Arabidopsis thaliana: one gene and its partner. The protein of the gene in region 2 interacts with the protein of the main gene of each other region in a biochemical or structural test. Each region holds a gene or a part of one and is shown on either strand. Other genes may lie near its edges.

Region 1 (7,203 bases), on a different chromosome or scaffold from region 2:
ACACGTGGCGGTATAATGAACCGTTGATTAGAAGTAAGAGATGGTTTTTTAACGCGTGATGCCCACAGATAATTGTAGCTGTTTTTCTATGCAAGCGTAAGGAACCAAGTCGGACAAGAGACCCATTAATCACAAAGTCAATTAAAATTAATTATTCTCCTCGTATTAACATTGGGTTTTGGGCTTTTGTAGTTTTTGTTAAGCCCAATAATAAAGTTTGGAGTAAGAAAGACGCAAAGGATAAAAAGGGTATTTCAGATGACGTAGCAAACTCGGACCGAGCTTCACGGAGATGATAACGACTAATTGACGGAATAGCCCTTACAAATTAGGGTTTTCACATTATTCTTTCCAAAAACGTAAGTATAGCCCGAGTCGGCGGATCTGAGTGTTTCACGCGTCTTTAAATAGAACCTTACCCTTCACCATTATTTTCTCAACCGCAATTGGTTTTTTTCTTCTTTCTCTCTCTCTCATCGATTAACAAAATCGAATCGAAAAAAAAAATTAGGGTTCTTCTCTCTTCCGTCTCTCGTTATCGATTTCGTTTTGATTTCGCGCCACAAAGAAGAAGTTTCATTAGGCGCGAATCTGAAACCTAGGTTCGATTTAGTTCTGTCCGAATTACTGTCCGTTGTCTTGTCCGTTAGTCGATTCGATCTGAGAAAGAAAGAAAGAGAAGAAGAAAAAACGATGTCACGATATTTCACATCCCCACCGCCTGTGTATGCGAGGAACTGGGCGAACGGTCAAAACTTGGTCGAATGGACTAAGGTTCGTCGAGCACTCAATTCTTGTGATTGATTCGCTACGGTGTCCTCTTGTCTGAACATGGGTTTCTGTGTTCGGTCAGAGTTAAATTTCCTTATAATATCCTCTTTGTAGCCAGATCTCTAGGTTGCATATAAGTTATTGATTGGTTAAATTGTAGGAAAATATCTTCAGCATAGATCTATGAATTGAATCTACACTATACATGTTTTAGCATAATGAATTTCGTTCTTAACGATGTCGTGTAGACATGTATGTTAGTTTGGTTTGGTCTCCAATTATAAAGTCAACCATAAAGACGCGTTGTAGATATATGTTTTGAGTAATTAACATTATGTGTGTTTGTGGTTGAATGATGTTACCCACGTATATGGGTATCTGGTTGTTTGCCTGATAAATCCTTCCTCTAGTCTAAATCCTTTATTCTGATTGGATTATAAAGATCGAAAGACCAATAGTTGATTCTAAAAAGCTGCATCGGAAAGAGAAGAAGGAGAAAAAGAAAGAAAAGAAATTAAAGAAAGAGAAGAAATCCCTTGAACAGAAGTATTCCACAACCAAGACAGTCTCATATGAATCCGAACAGCTTGAGAAATCTTGTTTAACAGAAGAATTTGAGCAACCTCAGGTTGGATATTTGTCTGATGGTAGCCAGAACAGTAAGAAGAGAAGAAGGGAAACTTCTCCTGCTGTTGTTGAGAGTCAAATCAAAGGTTTGTGCTTTGTTTCTTCCCGGATTAGATGAATATCTTTATTGTGTTTGAATACATATACTGAAACAGAGACGTTTAATCATTTGCAGCTACACCTGTAGCTGGTAAACCACTACGGATTCGTATTGTTTTCAAGAAACCGAAAGAAGCTGAAGCTGTACCTCAAGAGGATCCTGTTTGTTCCACTTCAGGGACTCAGAGACCTAGCGAATTACCAAGTTCTGTCTCTCTTCCAAGTATCTGTGATCATGATGTGGCTGTACCCTCAACTTCTCTTGAGAGTGGCAAGGTAGCAATTATTTCCGAATCAAAGAAGAGAAAGAAACATAAGCCTAGCAAAGAATCCCGGTACAATTCATTGTTTGATGAATTAGTTCCTCCCTGTATTTCCTTGGAGGAAGATGATAGCAGCAGCGATGACTGGCTTTTTGGAACAAGTCGGAAAGAAAATGTTTCTTCTGCCAAGTCTTCTTATAAGACTGATGAAGACACGATCATGAGCTTGCAGACGTCAAGAGATTGTTCCTCTTTGCCTAGAGCTATGTTATTGTCTGAAGTTGGAATTTTTTCATTACCATATACTGTCCCGTTTTAGGTCCCATATTGTTTTGTTCTTTCTCAGCTTAGCCTTAGGCCTTAGCTTTGTACAGTTATCATTGTAACAATCACAGTGATCTATGATACTTGAACGATCTCTGTATTTTTGACACTAATCAAAAATCATGGTTTCCACTTACTAAACTATCGTCTACATGATTTTTGTCAACTGGAAGTTTTTGGTTGAATTGATCAATGCGATTGCAAAAGCTGGCTACTTTTAAATAAGCAATTTCTTGCAAGAAGTTGACTGGTTTAGCCGTTCCCCAGTTTAACTTCTTGCTTAGGCAGCTGGAGAAAGATCTCTTTAAGCATGATGCTTGGTAAGATCACATGAATATACATCTTGTGGGAAAGAAGCAGAAAACAAGAGCTCTTAAAAACAAAATAAACGTTGCAAATATTAATTAGATTCATTTGTTAATACAAAATGATCCTCAAGAACAAAAGAGAAGAGAGACAGAGATTAGTCTACATAGCAAGAGTACAACACACGGTCTCTTAGTCTGTGGACTCGAAAGATTCACCAGCAAAGAGTAAAAGACACAACAACAACAAAGCTCGTTTTAGCAACTATACAAAAAAGCTACTAGAAATGTCTCCCTTCACGTCGAAATTATCATATTAAAATGGGCCGAATCAAATAGTTGAAATCATCTTCTGCTTCTTTCTTTAGTTGGTTTTACCTAGTCTTAGAGGTTTTTCTTATCACAAGAACGCGCAACGGTTCTTATTCTTTTTCTTCTTCTTCTGCTTTGGTGGCTGAAGCACCACTTTTATAGCTGCATCAAACACTGCCTTCACGTTCTGCAGAAACACCAAAAGGAAAGAAATAAAGCTCACCCTCTTGATAAGATCAAATATTGCAAACAGTGAGGAACAGGACAAGCGATTTGTTATGTATACCTGCTGTGTCTTTGAACTACATTCAATGTAGACAGCAGATCCAATCAGTTTCTTCAGTTCCTCTCCCTGCATCATTCAAAACAACATCAGACAATTCTATTAAGAACTGGCAATCATTGCAAGACTATTCGTTTAAAAGGATATGTACCTGGTTTGTAGTAATTGGCACAGCACCAGGATGATCTATAAAGAATTGCTTGTCATCTCGAAGATCTGCAGCAAATACCAGTGACTTAACAATCAAATTTTGCAAGAAAACTTAACAACTTCGTTGGTGTCACAAGGCTTGTAGGAACGTAACCACAGATCTTTCAGTCAAAAAAATAGCATGATCAGTTCAATAGGGAAAGTGTGTGATTACCGAGTTTTGTCCCAACAAGGATAATGGGAACACCAGGAGCATAATGCCTGAGCTCAGGAATCCACTGAGAGAGGAGGAACGAAATCAAATAAGATCACTCATCAACACAAACTGTATAGGATTTATCAGCAAAAGAGAGACAAACCTTCTTGGCTATATTCTCATAGCTAGCCTTGCTAATAAGAGAGAAAGCAAGAATGAAAACATCAGCACCACGGTAACTCAAAGGTCGTAACCTGTTGTAGTCCTCTTGACCTGTTAACAAACCCCACAAACACAAACTAAGTCAAAAACAACCGAAACAAAAGGAAAATCCCAAACGGTGAAACGAAAGAATTACCAGCAGTATCCCACAATCCAAGATTGACAGTGTTGCCATCAACAACCACATTAGCACTGAAGTTGTCGAAAACAGTTGGCACATAATCCTGAAACACCAATCACAAGTCACAGATTTACACCTTATAATCAAAATCATCCTTTATAAAAAGCAAAAACAAAACACAGTAGCTTCAAGATCAATACTTTGGCCTAGATTCTCAAAGTCTTAAAACAAAAAAAGTTGTAACGAAATTGATCAATTTCTAGTATACAGCTCCATGACCTAAAATCTACACCTGAATCCAATTTGCAAAAACCTTGCAGATCACTAATCTACTCTTGCAACGAGCTCAACAAAAAAATAAGAAACCGAAGAGATATTGAAATAGGAGAGGAAAGATTTACAGTAGGAAAAGTATTGCTAGTGTAAGAAATGAGCATGCAAGTTTTTCCGACGGCACCATCTCCGACGGTCACACACTTTATAAACCTTGACGCCATCTCTGCCGCAAGATCGGAAACAAACAAAAAAGCCCTTAAAATCAATCCTCTTTTGTGGTTGCTTCTTCCTCAAAACCTCGACATTTCTAGCTCGCCAATCAAATTCGAGCTCTAAAAGCTTGTGAATCTGAGAATCACCCAAATTCGAAAAAGAATCGAAGAGAGAAGGAAAAGAAGAAGAAGAAGGTTGATTTGGCGGTTGATAGATGACTTTGAGAGGAGCCTATAGGAGGAGGGGACTAGTAGAAAAACAACAACTCTGAGACAGCTAAGAGAACAGCACCAAACACCTCCTTATCATATACACTCACTCCCCTTTTATTTATATTATACTTTTTATTTTCACCTCTATTTTTCTTTTTTCAAAATTTTGAAAGTCTCTTTTCTTTTATGTCACGGATTTTGAATTTTGAAATGGAGAAGATCTGTCAGTTTTTTTTAAACAACAAGAAAAATACAATTGTCATGAATGTTTTTGTATTATCTCTTTGGTTTCTCAACAGTTTTTAAATGTTTTTAATAATATATTTCGTTTAACACTTTTTTATTGTGATACATATTTTCATTGTTGTTTTGAGTTAAAATTGTCTCTTAAATTTGGACTAAATCATTGACATGAAGCCTAGAGAAATCTTAGTAAGGTAATATTTTGAACTATCATATATTGTCTGAACAATGCAAGTTTCAAAATCCTAGTGTGTTGTGTCTTTGGACTTGCACTGCCACTTTGATTCTTACTGGCATGAGACTTATCCAGTTTTGAGCAGTTTTCCATAACATTCTTTTTGTTCACAACTTTATTAAAACATAGCTAACGAAGTTTTGATTATCAATATTAGCAGTAAACGAAGTCGCTTATCTGTCTAATCCTCTTGGTACCTACCAAAACAAGATAAGAATTCCATAGAAGTTTATCATTTCACCAAAACAACAACTAAAAGTTGTTATCTTACTTAGTTTAACCATGTATCGATTATTTTACAAATAGTAATTGGTAAAATATTATACCGTCTCAAAACTATAGATTTTCTTCAAATAAAAACTTTCTTTAGCTAGCGAATTTGAATCCGCATATCCAGTTATAAGACTCCCATTCACAACATCTTCTACAACTGCCAGTTCTCTCGTATGTAATGTATCAAGGGAGGTAAATTCAAATGATCTAAGATAGACTTTATAGTATAGCAAAAAAAAAAAAAAAATGGCATACGAGAGAGACTTAAGCAAAATACGAAGAGGCATGAATGAAATCTTTAATCATTGGATTTGGCAACTCTCACTCATCAAGAACGTGCCGGCACGATTCATAAATGTCTTATTTATGATGTTTTTACTTATTTTCTCTTTTCGATTCCCCTCGGATTACGAAACATAGGCGACTAGAGTCCAATGGGACGTGCCCAACTCTAACTAAATCAATCCACTAACGATCCACCACGTCACTGATTGTCCCATCACCTAATCATAATCACACCAGACGGTAGCTTCTTATAATTATTTGTCAAACTTGATGAATTAGTAGCTAATTGCCATCATGTGTTATTTTCAACTTTTTCATTCCATAAGACTATATATATATATATATATTGCTGACCAAAAAAGAAATTGCTTATATTGATTATATGCTTACTGAGTTTAATAATGAAAATTAGAAATGTAATAAAGTTATCCACAAATATTTATCAAATGACCGTGATAAATCGTACAAAATTATGTGTTAATTTAACCACTCATAATTTTTTTAATAAACATTTATCATGTGGATTTGGATTTAAATAATCACATTCAATGATAGTAGCACAAACCACTAAATTGTACACGAAAAGTATGAATTAACCAAATCATGATATCAAAGAAGTTAAGCTTAGTAGCTTACCAACTATTCAGTATTCACCAACCAGTGACCAATCTCTCTTTATTAACTAACTTCACTTCTTTTCTGTTCAAAAATCTTTTTTCCTTTTTGATAGAATAATTCAATTACTGACCAGAATTCTCTAAGAAATAGATGAAAAAGACAATCCATAATCACTATTGCCATAATCCAATAAGCTGCAAAATAATTCAGAAACGACAAAAAAAACTATCAGAAAATGTCACAAGAAATAAACCAAAAGGTCCAAACAATAAAATCCATATGAACTATAAGGCTTATACGTGGCCCATTATACTGTGTAACCCATTATTCTTCGAATCGAGCCATAGCAACCAACATGCAACAAATATAGAAGTTTTACGTACATAGGAAGGAAGGCAAACAAAAAGTGTTGTTTCGTGAACCCTAAGAGAAGAAAACACGAACCTTTGAAGTCAAGAAGAATTTCTCCACTGAAGCTCAATCTGAATACGACCATTCTTGGAATCAATCAGATGATACTTATCGTTGATTCTCCGATTACTCACAACATCCCCAAGATTTATCACCACGTAACCAAGAGTTTCCTGATCAAATCATATATCAAAATGTTAGTTTTTGCTTTCTCAGAGATACGATTTTGATGCAATCTTTAAAGAGAGATCTGATTTTGTTTCTACCTTGGGATGAATTAGTCTTGAAGAAGAACTTATGACTTCAACGTGTAGCTTATCGTTTATGGGAGGCTCATCTAATGGGAACTGAAAATCTTCATCCCATCTCGGTTCTCTGTTTTTCTTCACACGCTACAAAATCAAACCAAAATGTGTAAAATTTGATGTCCTCTCATATGTTTCCATTTTGAGTTTTAAGAGAAGTTTTATATATACCTTTGTCTTACGCTCTTCTCCTCTGAATAGCAAACGAACAGAAGGATTAGTGTGATATTTGCCTTCTAGATCTTCAGCTTCGTGAACTATCACCACAAGCAAGCCACCAGTAGAAGGTGTGCCTTCTGGTGCTTTCTCTACTGCATTTGGATCATCAATGTTCTCTGGAATATCATCATCCTTAAAAGGTTTATATTCGACTTCAACCACGAGCTGTCCACGCGATTTCTCGCTAACTGGCTCTTTTGGTTCCATGGATTTTAAGAGCTCGAGTGTCATGAGTTTTGG
Region 2 (7,442 bases):
CCAAAAAGACATTTAAGCATGTGGGTTACCCGAGTAGTCCAATATGTGCAAGAAAAAGCTGAGCTTGTAAAAAAAAGTTTCTAATTGCTTTAAGTCATTAACAGGAATCTCAGAGCCATTATTTCCAAAGAATCCCCCTGGCCTCCTCAGATTTCCACCAGAGACAACCTCATATATCAAAAACTGCAAGCAATGCACCTGAAACAACAAAAAAGCAAGAAGTTCAAGCACTGGATCTTACCATCTGTTGTTGTACTTAAAATCATCTTGAAATGGACCCAAACCTGTGCTGCTGTTGGGGCAACAGGCCTCGGATAAAAGAAATTCCCTCTGCTTTCATCATTTCCATGTTGTGAAGATGGCATCTCATGTTCGGGCCTGGTATTTGCCATCCAGTCAGCTGAAAGTGTCCGCATATCAGAAAGAATCCTGAAATGCAACCATACATATGATAAGTTAACAATATGCAAAGCTTAAGTTTAAGAGAACATGGACTTGAAACAGAAAGAAAATAAAGGAAAACCAATTCACCTTGAGAGATCTTTCTTCTTTCGGAAGGTGGTACGCAACATTGTGGCTAACGTGTTCTGTACAAAATCTTGAACTTCGGCATGTATTGTCTCCCATAAAGCATCTGCAACTAATGTGTCACAGCGCTGCAGCATCGATCCTACACTCTTTATATAGCCAACAAGTTCTACCAAGGCTTTCCTTTCTTCTGCAGTATAATTGAACCTCACCACCTATTTAAAAGAATCCAAAACTTGTTACCATAAAAGATAAAACTTTTCGAAAATATTTCACAAGTATTACCTTCTCGTAATCAGAATATGATCCGGAGGCTTCAGGAGTCTCTCCTGCATCCCTACATGGGCGAGAGAATTTCCAAGCACATTGCTCCCAAATGCGTGCTGTCCATCTACTTAACAGTTGGAAACCTTCAACAACCATATCGTACATGTTTCCTTTGACCTCTCTGCACCATTCAGTATATGCTCCATCGTTTGACTTCAACAGCAATAACTGCATGAAAGCAAGTGAGAACAACATCCTAGAGACTCAAAATAAGAACAAGAAAATTGGAGCTCCAGGGATAGAGATAGCTTGAGCACCTGATTCATGGATGAAGCAAATCGGATTGTGAAATCGTCATGCTCAGCACGGAGAGCTCCAATGTGATTGACTATCAAATAGTGCCTCTGATATGTAAAATATGTTAAGGCTTGCAATTTTCAAAGCATGTGTACGGTTAACAATAATCCAGATAATAGTTAAAATAGGCAAGTAACAGTGAAAATATTAAAGGATATTCTAGCGCTTCACGTGGAGGGAGCTCATGAGGTGCTGGAAGAGTCAGAAGGCGAGTCTGTGATGAAAACTTTTGAAAGTATACCGACAATTCTTTCAAAATTGCAGCAGGAGAAAGATGGAGATCTGGAAACGCAGGAATGACAGGATCATTCTGATAGCCGAAAAACACACAACAAATATGACAATTAGCGACTTGGAAACAAGGCTTTGCGGTATATTGGTTGTGAATGCGAAAACAGGTATAACATGAATCTCAATACCTTGAAAATGTTTATCAATCTGTTGAGTTTTACCCTCTTGTATAAAGCCTCGGTATCTTTCTCAGATGGTGTTGCTAAGACAACAAGAACAGGTAGAACCCGGAGAAGAATATACCGCTCAGGAAAAAGTAGTGCAAAATCCAACTCCAGAGACTCCACGATGAAGACTATGAGAACTTGGAGAATATCTTCCACACTGAATTTACTAAGGAATCCAAAAGCTTGCAATATAGTCAAATGGCACAAGGGACTTGAGCAGCATGCATATCTCAGATAGACAAACCCATAATAATGTCTTTAACAGCCACACGATGGTGATAAATGTCTGGAAGAAAGGATACTTGTTTACACGGAACATCTCAACGTGCAGGTTGAGTAAAATAGCCCATCTTGTGCTCAGGAAGATCTGCATACATAAGAACTCACATTTTCATTTACGACAAACCACAGGGGAAGGCATTATCAAATGATTGCATAAACAAGCCATGCAAACACCTGCAAGTCGTCTAACTCTTCTCTCATTGTATCTGTATCTTGCCACTGCGCACTGACTTGAGTGAATGTTCTGAAAAGAGTGAAACTATCTTAAGAACATAAACTAAAAAAAAAAGCTTCTAGGAAACTAATTCAACTCTTAAATAGAGCTTTAGTAGCTGAAAGGATTAGTAACAAACATCGATCTACCTACATTCAAGTGTCCTATTTGCAGAAAATATAGATAGGAAAGATAAAAGTATTATATCTTTCACCTCTTATACCAAGAGAAATCATTAGGAATGCTAGCTTTAGCATTTTTAAGATGATCCAGCTGAACCAAGACGTCAAGCAACTTTAGCATTGACCTATATTAAGTAAAATCACAGTTAAACTATATACACGAGGAAAGTTAATCATCCAAGGATCTAATACAAAACACAAAATAAGAGTTATAACCCACCAAAGATGTGTGACTGTGGGACCATTGATCCGCCGTTCAGGTCTGGAAAACCGCTGCATGTCAGCAGCTAACTGCACAGACAGAGAATATACGCACATTATTTCTGATACAGGAATTTATATAAAACGAGTTGGACGAGGAAGGATATACACCGCACTTTAGCTGAAGCCGACGATTGCCATCTTTGAATTTCGCGTAAACGGCTCATTTCTAAGTCCAAAACTTGATATGTTTCTAGATACAAATCCGCTTGACTATGCTTCATAGATTCGGGAAGCTGCATGTATATCATTAATAAAGAAAGTTATGTGTGTTATGGAAGAAATATACACAACAACACCCAGCAAGAAGTACTGTATTTGATATTATTTTCAGTAATTTCTATCATTCGCTATTATTTATACAGAGAACTTTGTTGTTGCTTTTATTTTTGCATTATAACTGCATTATACTTTGTAGTTCAAAAAAGAGTCTCGTACAGTTGCTACGAGATTTCGAATACCATGAAGAACTAACGCATAGCATAATTCTCAAAGCTACATTTTATCAGATAAAATGTCTAAAGGTAGATATGCAATGGAGACAAGGAGTGTAGTGATAGATTTCACAAGGACCTGAGGCAGTGCTTTGACACAACTTCTATATGTGTATAGAATTGACGCCATCTCTTTTCCTTCTTGTATAAGTGTATTCTGCATATATACAATTGGTTGAAAACTTACTTGAAGTATTCAAATATAACACGATTAACACAACATAACCGTAAAAATATCAAATCGTAATTTAATCAGTCTTTCTAAGATGAGGCAAATGAAGAAGAATAGCCATATACCAGCTGGTTAAGAGCTTTTGTGTCTTCTGATAGAGACAACCGGTATGCAGCGACGTCACTATATTCTACAGAATAGTAATAAAAAAAAAAACATCTTGATTATTTGGATTTTATGGTAAAAGAGTGACAAGAGAACAATGAAGCATACCGATGGGACTATCGGTTGCTGCTCTTTCAGCTGAAACCATCACAGCCGGTCCTTGGACTTCTGGTTGCTCATCCTATAACCAAAATTCAAAATGCTTCAAGAAAATGTACTAGAGTGACTTCAAATTTTTCAAGAAGCTACTTAAATCTTCAACATTTCGTTGAAACTTATTTTACTGCTAACTTAGGCAAAGATCCACAGGTGATTAAACAATATATGTGATAATTTTACACGAAAAGGATTTAACAAGAAATAGAAACAATAATTTCATATCCTTTCTAGAAGAAAATTTTGAAATATGAACTCCGGAAAGAAAATTTGTAGTCAAAAGGATCCAAAGACCCACAATTTCTAAATTTTACCAAAATCTAGAATATCGAAGTTACCTCTAAGGAGAATGTGGAAAGAGCTGCGATTGCTTCCTCTACAGGAACCGCCATTGAGTCACCTGGAAAGATCAGACGAAGCAATTAGCAACATTGGGCGACTAAAGGATAAAGCTTTCAACTTTAAGGCTCTTACCCAACAACAATGGAGAGGAGAGGAGAGCTGCTACTACTTCAAGTCAATTGATTCGCCTTTCTTCTGATTCTTTACGGACAGAGATCGATAAATTCGCTACTACTCTGTCCGAACCAAATATTTCGCAAAGTTGGAAGCTTTCTTTTTCTATTTGTTTTTCTGTAACAAAAAAAAAATGTTTCTTTTTGGGTCCTCGTTTGTATTTTCACCTTTCAGAATTTTTCTTTAGTACATATTTGTTCAATCCGATTAAAGCTTTGAGAAGAAGCATTACATTTGTGTCTTTACTATGAAGCAAACTTGATGACAGCTAAATCATTATTTACTGATTCCTTTATCCTCAACCATTTCTTATTTTGGGAAAATACATAAGAGTAATACCAGTAACAAAACAAAATAGATATAAATACAATTTTACAGTGAACAACTACTGAACATAAAATAAGTTACTTTGTAGAATCAGTAACAACTTTTAAGGTTTAACCGGAGCCTTAAACCAATCCGGATAAGAACCAGCAGGTGTTGGTGCTATCGGTGTGAGCATGTAAACCGTTCACGGTTAAGTGTTAGTAGCCTAATGGAAAGGACATGCCGTCTAAGTCTAACCAGAAATTTTTGTTGTAAAAACATATGAATTGAGAATGAAACTCTAGAAAAAGCGAAAACTGTCTTGGATTCAAAATAAAGTACTTTCTTTAGCTACAAAAATAGGGAATACAATAAAATGGAGACGAAGATGATTAGAAGAAGAAGAAGAAGAAGAAAGAGTAAATTATTCATCCAATTGTTTCAAAAGCCTGAAGAGACCAGCTGCTTCTCGAACCCGAGAAAACTCAATGCAGAAAGCTTGAACTTCTATGAATAGATCCTTCACTGTTACATTTTTTACCCAAAAAAAACATATATCACCCACAATTGTACATCATACTAATAGACTATAAAAGCTTCCTCTGTGAATGTATCTAGTGATCTTTCTGTGTTATTAGCAAAGCAAAACGCCTAATTTGATAGCAATCAGTCAGAAACAGAGAATGCATACCGTTGATGATCTTGTTACGAATTAAGCTTTGCAAGAAGACGCAAACAAGCCGTACAAGCCTATTCTGCATGTATTTGTCTTGCTGCTACAGATCGAAAACAATATATCACTATACCGTTAACAAAACAACTACATTGAAATCAACAAATCCGAGAATCATATACACAAAGCACATAATGCAAAGCACAAGCAGAAGTTTTTTCACACAAGATTATAGGATGGCGTTATGGATACTCATAGAAAGCTTTGTTTTAAGTACCTAACGGGAAATCAAAAGGACGCTTTGTTTTAATACCTTAGCGTTCTCACAAGACGATATGCAATTAGTGATGTACATCCGTATGAAGTCCTTGGGAAGTTCAACTGCAGTTGTGAGCCTATTCACAACTTCCATTGAGTGCAGGCTCATGTCCATATTTCCTAGAGCTTCATAATAGCTGAAGAAGCATTCTTAGATTCCCACTTTAAAAGTTATAATTTTGGTCGAAAGTAAATGGTGGAACCAATAAGGTGATGACTTACTCATTAATCTCTGTGGAGTTATTCAACTTGGTGAGAATTTCAACTGCTATCTGAGGATTGTGCTCTACTAATTGCTGAGAATAAGAAACTAGATCACATGAAAAAAAGAAAAAAGAAAAAAACCACCTGCCAGAAAATGAATCACATACCGGCAGCTTCCGTGGAGTTATTCCGCAGTGAAAGACAAGCTTTGGGTCATTTGCCAATTCTGTAATGATGTCCTGGCCAGTAAATAAATAAAACAAGTTATTTCAATCACTCAAAAGATCCAGGTTTTCTAAATTCATCAGCTATACGGGCAAGGCTGATGAAATAAAACATCACAATCACTATTTATCTATTGCACGGTTATTTTCCATAAACTCTTACTGCAGTCAATTCCTTCTTAATATCCTAGATCTTTAAATCCAATGAGAAAGGAAATACTAGAGTGATAGCACGAGCACGACTTCTCTCTCAAAACTACTGCCATACAATGGCTGCCTTTACAACCTTTAAAATTTGTGCATATGTAGTTACTGTCCCATTGCTATGTTAACTTGCTTATAAGTGTTAGAGTAAGATAGGTAATAAAATGGTCAATACTTGTATGATTTTATGCGCATATCAAGAATTAACGAGCGATAACATACCTCTTGCTCCGTAGGTGAAAGTGTCACCTTTAAACCCTTAACAAGCAAGTCTCTAACTGTTGCACCACTGCTAGTATCAGCACACATTTTATCGTCCCAAACAAGCTCATGCTTGTTATCAGGGTCAATCCAAAGCAACTGTAAGAAGTTGAACCATTTAGGTCAGTTCGATAATTTTCTGAACCAGTTGAATAAGGGGTTATTCTTATTTTTACCTCGCTCTGATGAACTGGGTACCTTGGTGGACATGGACGGATCCACCTAGGACCTAATCCCCCCATTGTCAAATTTCCTAAGAATCCAGATAGTGCCTCATCCCTATCACCAGATCCAATTCTGGGATTCACTCCAGCTTGCACATCAAACCTATAAGATTATTTGACTCAATGATCATTCATACAATCAACTTCAAATTGGCACATTAATTATAACACAGAACATTAAGCTTGGAGGAAAACTGGAAGCTTGAAAGAAATAGATCAGATTCAACTGTATATAACAGTTAGAAAGAAACAGAATCCCCTGACTCATAGGTTACGTACTCTGGAGAGTTAGGATCACACCCACGAGGAACATCAGGATCATGCAATAGCTTTTTCAGGGAATAGTCTGCAAAAATGTGACTAGATGGTCCAGGATCGGCTTTGTCGCCATACTCTCGTTGCAGCTCTCCTAGTTCCGGAAAATCCTGACAGAGCATCCCCATATTAGATCAATAACTGGAAAAGGTTTCTCTAAATGTTCTCTAGGTAATGTTAGGCATAATAAAGGAACAGTTACGATGAAGATAAAATATCTTAAGAGATATAATTGGAAAGAAGATATCTATGCATCAACCGCTCTTACATGAGTTGAAGGATCAAACGATCTGATATAATCAACAGCTGAGAGTTTGAGAATCTGCAAGGGAGCACACTTTCGTTACTTTAATTGATCATGATTACTTACGTAGTATCCACAGGTCACAGAGCTCATAAAATTTTACGAATCAGGACTTGAAAAAAATATCAGAAACGAAAGAAGGCTTAGCATATGCCTGATAGGAGTGATGGACTTAATTATGACAGAAATAAATGAGCCCAGCAAACAAGTTTAAGGAGATCAGTAGTCTTAGAGAGTATATGTGAAAAGGGAATTGCATAACATATTTATGCATAAATTTTGAATTTTCATGGATTAGCAAAAAAGAAGCAGGCAAACAGCTATATCCTACCTCTTTCACGTTGTTGTAACTATTCC

What was found.
Region 1: the proteins of PIR121 (region 2) and ROP2 form a complex in vitro, tested with the Arabidopsis thaliana proteins (one study listed by BioGRID).

Annotation. Positions count from the first base shown.
Region 1 is NC_003070.9:6,964,190-6,971,392, reverse strand, and holds ROP2 (RHO-related protein from plants 2), read right to left. Parts: upstream 4,552-7,203; 5' UTR 4,171-4,551; coding exon 4,075-4,170; intron 3,777-4,074; coding exon 3,689-3,776; intron 3,604-3,688; coding exon 3,494-3,603; intron 3,413-3,493; coding exon 3,349-3,412; intron 3,201-3,348; coding exon 3,136-3,200; intron 3,054-3,135; coding exon 2,988-3,053; intron 2,889-2,987; coding exon 2,790-2,888; 3' UTR 2,384-2,789; downstream 1-2,383. Other genes in the region: AT1G20100 (DNA ligase-like protein), read left to right, coding at 694-774, 1,214-1,484, 1,574-2,079; SYTB (Calcium-dependent lipid-binding (CaLB domain) family protein), read right to left, coding at 6,481-6,612, 6,706-6,831, 6,916-7,203. UniProt on the Arabidopsis thaliana protein: Inactive GDP-bound Rho GTPases reside in the cytosol, are found in a complex with Rho GDP-dissociation inhibitors (Rho GDIs), and are released from the GDI protein in order to translocate to membranes upon activation.
Region 2 is NC_003076.8:6,100,856-6,108,297, forward strand, and holds the start of PIR121 (transcription activator), read right to left. Parts: upstream 4,126-7,442; 5' UTR 4,011-4,125; intron 3,937-4,010; 5' UTR 3,929-3,936; coding exon 3,875-3,928; intron 3,562-3,874; coding exon 3,489-3,561; intron 3,406-3,488; coding exon 3,341-3,405; intron 3,201-3,340; coding exon 3,123-3,200; intron 2,786-3,122; coding exon 2,666-2,785; intron 2,580-2,665; coding exon 2,509-2,579; intron 2,414-2,508; coding exon 2,321-2,413; intron 2,137-2,320; coding exon 2,067-2,136; intron 1,978-2,066; coding exon 1,913-1,977; intron 1,768-1,912; coding exon 1,572-1,767; intron 1,463-1,571; coding exon 1,311-1,462; intron 1,207-1,310; coding exon 1,113-1,206; intron 1,024-1,112; coding exon 814-1,023; intron 744-813; coding exon 532-743; intron 430-531; coding exon 285-429; intron 199-284; coding exon 30-198; intron 1-29. Other genes in the region: AT5G18420 (CCR4-NOT transcription complex subunit), read right to left, coding at 4,783-4,883, 5,050-5,134, 5,345-5,486, 5,572-5,645, 5,721-5,792, 6,204-6,341, 6,419-6,569, 6,746-6,891 and 2 more. UniProt on the Arabidopsis thaliana protein: Involved in regulation of actin and microtubule organization. Part of a WAVE complex that activates the ARP2/3 complex. Interacts with the active form of RHO-family GTPases.